Mus musculus: one gene and its partner. The protein of the gene in region 2 purifies or fractionates together with the protein of the main gene of each other region. This does not show direct contact. Links are inferred from orthologs where the notes say so. Each region holds a gene or a part of one and is shown on either strand. Other genes may lie near its edges.

What was found. Proteins that work in one complex are often made in the same cells at the same time.
Region 1: the proteins of Mapk3 (region 2) and Dusp6 purify together in Homo sapiens (affinity purification with mass spectrometry; 7 studies listed by BioGRID and IntAct, with this or other methods). This does not show direct contact. The link is inferred for Mus musculus from reciprocal best matches to the Homo sapiens genes MAPK3 and DUSP6.

What each region holds. Positions count from the first base shown.
Region 1 is NC_000076.6:99,261,315-99,266,486, forward strand, and holds the start of Dusp6 (dual specificity protein phosphatase 6), read left to right. Parts: upstream 1-1,916; 5' UTR 1,917-2,377; coding exon 2,378-2,777; intron 2,778-3,229; coding exon 3,230-3,667; intron 3,668-4,677; coding exon 4,678-4,985; 3' UTR 4,986-5,172. UniProt on the Homo sapiens protein: Dual specificity protein phosphatase, which mediates dephosphorylation and inactivation of MAP kinases. Has a specificity for the ERK family. Plays an important role in alleviating chronic postoperative pain.
Region 2 is NC_000073.6:126,762,326-126,766,941, reverse strand, and holds the end of Mapk3 (mitogen-activated protein kinase 3), read right to left. Parts: intron 3,908-4,616; coding exon 3,718-3,907; intron 3,545-3,717; coding exon 3,428-3,544; intron 3,202-3,427; coding exon 3,087-3,201; intron 2,709-3,086; coding exon 2,577-2,708; intron 2,409-2,576; coding exon 2,299-2,408; intron 2,220-2,298; coding exon 2,097-2,219; 3' UTR 2,065-2,096; intron 1,703-2,064; 3' UTR 1,126-1,702; downstream 1-1,125. Other genes in the region: lysophospholipase D GDPD3, read right to left, coding at 1-40, 333-471.

The sequences.
Region 1 (5,172 bases), on a different chromosome or scaffold from region 2:
GCCCAAAAAAGGCGCGGAGAGAGGTTGGAGGCAACCCCCATTTTCATCAAAACGCTCCTTCTGGGGCGCCTGCCTGCGGGAGGGCTCCAAAATTGGCTACTTGGACCTCCAAGTCGCCCTGTTTTAGCCCACATTTCCCAAACCCCGGAAGAGGCGGGTGATTAAAAATGCAAATTGCTTTGCGGGCGACAGTAGGTAGGACCCGGCTGCGAGGCGCTGGGCTGGGGAGATCCCGTGACCTTAGACGCCCTCCGCGCCCCGGATTCGGGAAGGGCCGCAGCCGGCGCTTCCGCCTCCCGGTCGCGGCCGGACAAAGCCCAGCTCCTTTCCCTGGGACCCGAGGGGCTGACCGGATCGGGACGCGCGCCTTCCGCAGGGCCCGCCGTCGCCGCACACAGGTGGTTTTCCGTCCGGGAGGGGCGGCCTCTGCACTTTTATATAACAATAGAACCGAGCGCGCCGGGGATGCGCTCTTGTCGCCGTCGCGGCCCCCGCCGGCCACGCCTCCATCCGGCTCCGGTGCCGCCTCCGTCCTGAGTTGCCTGCGGGTGGTGCCCATGAGACTTCCCAACCCTAACTCTGGAACCATGGGGTCCAGACAGGGACACCTCTGGCTCCTTTTCCGCTCCAGGTCTCTCACTAGGCGACGGTTCCGCGACGGCCTTACAAGCGATCACGGGGTCGTCGCGTGTCCTGCCCCCCCCCCCCCATCCCCCAGAGCAGCAATGCTGCGGCCAAAGCGCAGCGCGCAAGCGCGTTTGGAGCTGCTAGCGTGCTCCTTGCGGGGCCCGGGGACCGCTGCAGCCTAGAAAGGATAGGGGACCGGCCTCTGTCCACAACCGCCACTGTTTACGCTTGAGTTCCCGCAGGCTTGCAGGTCTCCGGGGTGCAGGAAACGTTGGTGAGGCCTGTCGTCCCAGGCACCTAACCTAGGCTGCCTTGCCAGACCGGTTCCTCTTAGAAACCAAACTCTGCTCTTGGCTCCAGATCGTTAAAGGAGCTCGACTCCCCAGGCTCGATGGGTGACCGGTGATGGTGGTGGGGAGCAAGATCTCCGGAACAATGGCTCAGAATGCCCCCACTTCACCGGAGCAGAAGAAAAGTGCAGGGATAGCTGACAAGGTTTTGGGTGCTTACACCACCCGCCCCCCCCCCTCCGCTGCCGCCAAGAAAGTTGAGAAAGCCCGGGGTTGGGGCGCTTCTGGTTTTCTGGACAACCAAACGCTTGTTTGCTTAGTTGCTTTAAAATGTTTCAACAAAACACTAGTTTGTTTCTAGAGATGTTGGATTAGCATTTAACACTTCGTTGGGTCGCTAAAGCCCAGGCAGTCCACCAGTCCCAACACAGCCTCGCCTAAAAGGACATTAGAACAAACAGAACTAGACTTTTAAAAGAGCCAAACAAATGCCACACACGATCTAAAGGAGGACCGGGTTGGGGGTGGGGGAGCAGGGGCGGCGCTATGGCGGGCTTGGATCTAGCGTTAAAGAGAATTAAAAAGGGGGAAAACCCCTCAAGTTTTATTAAGGCTAACTTAAGATTGTAAGCGTCGCGAATAAGGGCTTTTGTGCTTGCTAATTGCACTACTGGTGCGCAAGAGTTAGACGCGAAGTGTGAACTCTAAACAGAAGGAAACACGAGACAACTTTAGTGCCCTGGTTTATGTGCCCTGCTCCTCCTCCACCGCCGCCTCCTCTTCTTTCTCCTTCCTCCCGCCGAGCCCGCAGTTGCAGCTTGTTTGCACTGGGGCTTATCCGGAGCGGAAATTCCTTTCCGTTTTTGTGAATGACAAACTCATTAACAATTCATCAACACAACCTGTTCCAGCCGGCCCGTCCCCACGGCAACAGCCCCTTCCGCAGCGCGCTCATTGGCTGACCGAGAGAATGTATCCATTGAGACGCTGGCTGTTTGTATCCATTGAGGAGCTGCCTCGCACAGGGGGTGTGCTCTCGCGGAGTCCTAGGGACTGTGAGCAAACCCAGTCTTGAATAATCCGGCGAGAAACACCGGGTTGGATCCGAGGTGCAGCCTCAGAGGGAAGGATTAAGAGCCGCTAGACTTTTTTTCTTTTCCCTTTTTCTCCTCTCAGTGGCACGGAGTCCGAATTAATTGGATTTCATTCACTGGGTAGGAACAAAACTGGGCACCTTCATTCAGAGAGAGAGATTCATTGACTCGGAGAGTGATCTGGTGCAGAGGGACCACCGACTTGACTTCTGTGTCGCTTTCCCTAACCGCTAGCCTCGGCTTGGGAAAGGCGAGGCGGAATCAAACCCCGCTCCGAGAGCGGGAGCTTCGCGCAGCGTGCTCGGCCTATGCCTGCCTCGAGGGGCGTCTGCTAGGCACCCCGCCTTCTCCTGCAGCTCGACCCCCATGATAGATACGCTCAGACCCGTGCCCTTCGCGTCGGAAATGGCGATCTGCAAGACGGTGTCGTGGCTCAACGAGCAGCTGGAGCTGGGCAACGAACGGCTTCTGCTGATGGACTGCCGACCACAGGAGCTGTACGAGTCGTCACACATCGAATCTGCCATTAATGTGGCCATCCCCGGCATCATGCTGCGGCGTCTGCAGAAGGGCAACCTGCCCGTGCGTGCGCTCTTCACGCGCTGCGAGGACCGGGACCGCTTTACCAGGCGCTGCGGCACCGACACCGTGGTGCTGTACGACGAGAATAGCAGCGACTGGAATGAGAACACTGGTGGAGAGTCGGTCCTCGGGCTGCTGCTCAAGAAACTCAAAGACGAGGGCTGCCGGGCGTTCTACCTGGAAGGTATGTTGTGCGCCCCGGGTGCAGGGCTCCGGGCTGGGACTGCAGGCTGGGGAAAATGTTAGCGAGGTAGCGATCGCCGCTTGCATTGCGCTTAGGGGAGCTAGCTGGGCCACCGTGGTAGCTTCTCCTTCAAGGGTTAATCAGGCACCTTTCTTTGGGTAGGTGTAGGATTAAGGTTCACAAGAGCTGGAAACGTAGTTCAGGGTGCAGCTTGGCACCTCGCAGCTCCTCGAAATATTAAGAAAAGTAATCTTGTGCATTTCCAGATTCAGGAGAATAAGTGTTCCCAGGGTAAGCAGCGGGTAGTGTTCCTAAAGGTGCGCATTGAAGCGTGCTTCTACCACTGCCGGGGGTTCCTAGGGTGCCTGTCCATAGTGTTCTTTGTGCTTCTCACTAGCTGTAAATTACTACAGCTTCTCCGGTTACAAGATTGCTTTTCTTGTTTCTGGCAGGTGGCTTCAGTAAGTTCCAGGCCGAGTTCGCCCTGCACTGCGAGACCAATCTAGACGGCTCGTGCAGCAGCAGTTCCCCGCCTTTGCCAGTGCTGGGGCTCGGGGGCCTGCGGATCAGCTCGGACTCTTCCTCGGACATTGAGTCTGACCTTGACCGAGACCCCAATAGTGCAACGGACTCTGATGGCAGCCCGCTGTCCAACAGCCAGCCTTCCTTCCCGGTGGAGATTTTGCCCTTCCTTTACCTGGGCTGTGCCAAGGACTCGACCAACTTGGACGTGTTGGAAGAGTTTGGCATCAAGTACATCTTGAATGTCACCCCCAATTTGCCCAATCTGTTTGAGAATGCGGGCGAGTTCAAATACAAGCAAATTCCTATCTCGGATCACTGGAGCCAAAACCTGTCCCAGTTTTTCCCTGAGGCCATTTCTTTCATAGGTGAGACTAATTTACAGTCATTCATAGAGTTGAAGATCTTAATCTGTTTTCCTGCAGGCTGTTTTGCTGGACTGCAGGTCTTCTACTGTCTTTAAGAGTGTTAATTCTTGTTTACCTTCTTGCTTAAAGGGAAAACAGGGCCCGTTGACGTAGCAGATCGGGGGACTATTTGAGCCATTTAATTCATACTTTTAAAAGGAGGCTGTTCCAATCAGCCATGTTTTCCTTATCTCTAGACGACAGGATGTGAGAGGAGAGTGAGTTAAAAGCACTCACTTGCAGACAAGAATTCTAGTATTGCATTATAATTAAAAAAATATATCTAGGAGTTATTTTAGGACACCCAAGTTAGTTGTTGGAAAGCAGTTTGAATACTAGCTGTTACCTAGCTGAGTGATACTGCAGGGTACTGGTTACTGTGAGCCTCTGGGTAACCTGATCCCCCGCAGGAAGGACTGTGGGCTGAGAGCCTAAGAGAAGCGAAGCTCCAGGCATTGTAGTGCATTTCCTATTACAAAGGAACTCATTTTCAGGCCATGTAGACATCCTGTTCCTTCTAATGGGCTGTCCCCTGTGACTTCCCTCTCTCTTTTAAAATGCCTGAATACCCCCATTGTTAGCTGCACAACAGTTGGGAGAATAATTTAATAGACCCTTGCAGTCTGCTTGGTCTGTATGAGAGGCATTCAGGACCGGATTGCAGGGTTTCTGGTATTCACAAGTTGAGGCAAGGAATGTACACACATTAAGGAGTTTTTTTGTTGTTAGAAACTTACTACAAAAGCTCCCTTTACAGGAAATAATCTGAAATATGTGATTGTGTTCAGTGTGCATGTTTATCTCCCGTTATACATTTTCTGGTGCCTTCGGGGGCTTAGTTGCCACATATAATTGTTGTTTACTATTCCTTCTGAATTCAGACTTCAGGCTAAGCATTTTGCAAAGGCTTGGTTCCTTTTTTTTTTTCCAGTCTAGTGAACTCTTGCCTTTTTTTGTGTGTGTTCCCGCAGATGAAGCCCGAGGCAAAAACTGTGGTGTCCTGGTGCATTGCTTGGCAGGTATCAGCCGCTCTGTCACCGTGACAGTGGCGTACCTCATGCAGAAGCTCAACCTGTCCATGAACGATGCTTACGACATTGTTAAGATGAAGAAGTCCAACATCTCCCCCAACTTCAACTTCATGGGCCAGCTGCTTGACTTCGAAAGGACCCTGGGACTGAGCAGCCCTTGTGACAACCGTGTCCCCACTCCGCAGCTGTACTTCACCACGCCCTCCAACCAGAACGTCTACCAGGTGGACTCCCTGCAGTCTACGTGAAAGGCACCCACCTCTCCTAGCCGGGAGTTGTCCCCATTCCTTCAGTTCCTCTTGAGCAGCATCGACCAGGCTGCTTTCTTTCTGTGTGTGGCCCCGGGTGTCAAAAGTGTCACCAGCTGTCTGTGTTAGACAAGGTTGCCAAGTGCAAAATTGGTTATTACGGAGGGAGAGATTTGCTCCATTCATT
Region 2 (4,616 bases):
TCTACTGCTTCCATGGTGTTCTCCAGTCGCTCCCCAGACCCTGTGGAAAGCAGTTTGGGTGGATCCCCGGGACCTAGCTTGACCTTCCTGCTTACCTTTCTTCCTGACGGTCTCCCACTTGCTTTAGGCTTCCTCTCTTCCAATCAGTTGAACTGGCCTCTCCTTCCCTGCCACATGCCCTCTAGGCCCCAAGACTCTCCTTTCCTCGCTCTTTTTAACATTCAATCATGCCTTGCACCTTGAGGATGGGCTGCCCACCCTGACACCTGTCTTGTTAGGCTCACTCCACCCTACATGGATTCCAGCCCTTCCACCTCCCTGACTCAGCTCACCTCCACGGTGGGCAGCCAGGCGGATAGGGAAGACGGGAGCCCGCGGCGTGTGCAGCAGATGAGGTCGGCGCAGGAAGAAGATGGAGAGCATGACGTAACTGCCCAGGGTGGGCAGAACAAAGTACAGGAGAGGGATCATAGCCTCGCTCCACGGCAGGCTTCTGTCAAAAGCACAGCCTTCCCTGTCCCAAAGGGCTCTGATGCCCGGGGCCGAGCCTGCCTGCTCAGCCAGTGTAGGCTGGCTCCTCCACCGGGCAGCGCCACGCCCATGGACCTGCTGAGCCTGCTGGGTGCTGCTGGAACGTGGCCAGACTGCAGTATGGCCCAGAGCTGGGGCCAGGCACAGGAACTGAGGCAGGCAGCCCTGGGTTCCATGTCCAGAGACCTTTCACAGATCCCAGCACCCCCTTTTGTTCTTGACCATGTGGGGGGGGGGGTTAAGCAGCCCCACCCCCTAGTGTTTAGATCTTTCTGCCTCCCATAGGTGTTTGTGGACAGGATCTGTAACTTATTACACATTTGCCACTTCCCGGGAATTTGGGGGTGTGTAAGGTACCCCTGAGTCACCCCAACTCACTCCAAGCAGTTAAACAGGAAGTTGTTAGGGAAGACAGTGACTAAAGGGAAACTGACCCCTTCCCAGAGACTGACACTCCTTAGAACCCAACCTCATCCCTGGCCAGCTGGAGCCAAAGACTACCAGGGCCATGTAAAGCCACAGCTGGAGGCAGGGGGCAGTTGTGAGTGCGGTATGCTGGGGTCGCGTCGACATACACAGACAGAGGCAGGCTCATCCATATACACATCTCTATATTTATATATTAGATACAGGCACGGGGAGATGGGGAGGGGCACCGGCTCTCCACGGGCCCCACCCCCACATCCAATCACCCACACACAGAAGCAGCAAGGGCGTTACATGTGGCAGCTTGAGAGAGAGAGGGTTAGGCCTGGGCTCCTCAGGGAAACTAGCCCTTGAGACTTAGGAATGTTCTGTCAGGGAAAATGGGGTGGGGTTCCAACAAGATGAATAGGGCAGAGCCCTACTCAGTGCCCTCCACCCCTCCGTAGCACAGGTCCTAGGACGATCATAGCCCCTCCATTCCAGAACGGTCTACCAGAGCCGGGGCTAGCAAGGGTAGATAAAGACACAGCAGCAGAGATCAGCTCTGGGGCCACCTCATCACTCAGGCTATGGGGAGATGGGGCAGGGGATTGGAGTGGGAGAAGCCTGCTTGAAGCAGGAGACCCCAGCAAAGTGAGAGAAGGTGGCCAGGCCCACCCTTGGTCCAGCCTGGGCTGCCGGGGTCTGGGTTGAGCAAAGTTCACTTTCTAACAATCTGCAGAGAAGGAGCAGGTAGGAGCAGGACCTGAAGGAAGAAACGGACAGAAAGGAATGGTCAGCGGGGTGAGCCCTGACCCCAGCGTCTTTGAACTGTCAAGTTCTGTGGGTCTTGGCTTCCTTATCTGCAGCTAACAAGAGCAGCCACCAAGTGCTACTGTGATTATAGGCTCCTCTCAAAGCATCATGATATACTCTGGCAAGGCCTGGAGTGGCTGCTCATAAGGGGCGGATCTCTCATCCGGATGGGCTGGAGGATGCTCGCTCATACATGACCCTGGCCCTTTGTTGTTACCACATGTGGATATGCAGAGATGATGCAGCAGCACCCAGACTGGACAGCCTCTGACTGGGATGTGGCTGTGCGGGGGGGCCTTGGGAGGCACTCACCAGATCCAAAAGGACAGGGGTGTCTGTTCTTGTTAGGGGCCCTCTGGCGCCCCTGGCTGGAAGCGGGCTGTCTCCTGGAAGATCAACTCCTTCAGCCGCTCCTTGGGGAGGTCATCCAGCTCCATGTCGAAGGTGAATGGCTCCTCGGCCACTGGCTAGGGGGCAAAGACGGTGAGGCCCAGGCTGGGCACTTGGGATACTAGCCCCCCTCCCCGCCGCTGGTGACCGGCTCACCTCATCTGTCGGATCGTAGTACTGTTCCAGGTAAGGGTGAGCCAGCGCTTCCTCTACTGTGATGCGCTTGTTTGGGTTGAAGGTTAACATCCGGTCCAGCAGGTCAAGAGCTAAGGCAAGGCAGGGGGCAGCAGTCAGGAGGAAGGCTAAAGGAATCCCATGGACATCCCTTGTCCAGTGCCTGGGGGGGGTGGCTATCTACTGAGGCAGGCGTTAGGGTCACACACTCTTCTTTGCCGCTGGGTTTTAGCCTACCCCGGATCCTCTGCTTCACTCACCTTTGGAGTCAGATTTAGGAAAGAGCTTGGCCCAAGCCACCTTGGTTTTCGAGGGCAGAGACTGCAGGTAGTTTCGGGCCTTCATGTTAATGATGCAATTAAGGTCCTCCTGGGATGGGGAACCCAAGATACCTGCGGAGAAACCAGTTGTCTTGGTGAGAAGATCAGTCCTCCTTCTGGCAACAGGTCAGGAAGCAAGACCAGGAGCCCAAGCCCAGCCACGTGCCGCCAGGAGCCCAAGCCCAGCCACGTGCCGCCAGTCCTCCCCATCTACCCACTGGGGTAGCGACGAAGGGCAGAGAGCGGAGAACCAGGGAGCCCTGGGCTCAGACTCTGGCTGCAGTCTTCTCAGGGGTACGGCTTAGCCTTGCTTTCCCCAGCTTTCAAATGGGAAGAAATACCGTGAGATGCTGGAGGAGGCTCCATATGTGGTACCTAATTCTCACCCTCCAGAAATGTCACCTCTGAGAAGCTAACCCCCACCCCTCTCGGCCAGACAGGCCCTCGCACCTAGAATGTGGTTGAGCTGGTCCAGGTAGTGCTTGCCGGGGAAGATGGGCCGGTTGGAGAGCATCTCAGCCAGAATGCAGCCCACAGACCAGATGTCGATGGATTTGGTGTAGCCCTAGGGGGAAAGTGTGCTGAGCTTCCCGGCCAGCCTCATCAGGGCCATTCCCAGTATTTGGGACAGGCACCATATCCAACTTAGATCTAACACAGCAAAGGGCAGAGGACAGAGCCGAGGAAAACTCTACTCTCTACATCTTGCTAAGGCCCAAGGGTCAGCGGGATTGTGCCTAGGCCCTGAGATGGCTCTAGGACTCCCTCGCAGACATGGGAAACTCTCCTACCTTGGAATTAAGCATGATCTCTGGGGCTCGGTACCAGCGTGTGGCCACATACTCCGTCAGAAAGCCAGTGTGGTCGTGCTCAGGGTCAGCAATCCGGGCCAGGCCAAAATCACAGATCTGGAATCAAACCCAGGCCACTGAACTACATTGCCCAAGGCTTCCCCGGCCTAGGAAGTGCCCCTGCCCTGACTGTTTTGTTCTTGCTTGCCACGTTCCAAGGCTGCTCTTGCTAGCCACCCAGAGGCCCCAGGACCAGGGAAGGAGAGGGAGGGAGGCATTTAACCTCTGACCTTAAGGTCGCAGGTGGTGTTGATAAGCAGATTGGAAGGCTTCAGGTCCCGGTGCAGCACATTGGCTGAGTGTATATACTTGAGGCCCCGGAGGATCTGGTAGAGGAAGTAGCAGATGTGGTCATTGCTCAGCTGCTGGCTTTTAAGCAGCTTGTACAGGTCTGTCTCCATGAGGTCCTGAACAATGTAACTGAGGAGGACTCCAGAGACCCCCACGTCGGGGGGAGTAGGAGATACTTCGTTAAGGAAAATGGGCTCTGACGAGGAGCTCAGGTATTCCTTCCAGCGAGGGTCCCTGGGTCGAGCTTCACAAGGCTCGGAGCTGACAGTGTGCAAGGCACATCTATTCTGGGCCCTCAGTTTCCCTACTGGGCGAATGAGAGTGCTGATGGGCGGTAGTGGGAGGCGTAGGAAGAATGGGAGCTCTGAGTTAACCCACTCATGCCTGAAGTCCCCACGCTGCCTCCACAGCCCCGTGCTCTTAACCTGTCCACACCTTAGTCTCCTGATCTGACAAGCAGGGAGAGTAAGTGTTCTTCAGAGGGTGGCTGTGAGCAGAAAATGCTCTCGGAGAAGCAAACAAGAAGTAGTGTTGTTACTCCACGGGCAGAGCCATGCGGCTGTTGAGTGGGTTAAACGAGATAATGCACGAATACCATCTGGCACACAGTAACTGTTTGCTTAAAAATAAATGCCTGCCTTATGGGGATGATTTGTGCCAGAAAGTGAGGAAGACACTCCCCAACAGTGCGCTCCCACAGAGCGCTTGACCATACACCAGAAGGTGGGGAACTAAGAGTCCTTTTATACTTGAAGGTAAAACAAAGATTAAGCAAAAACAAATGGCTTATCTTTGGAAGAATAGTCAGGAGCTGGGTAGAGCACCTCACTCCTATAAT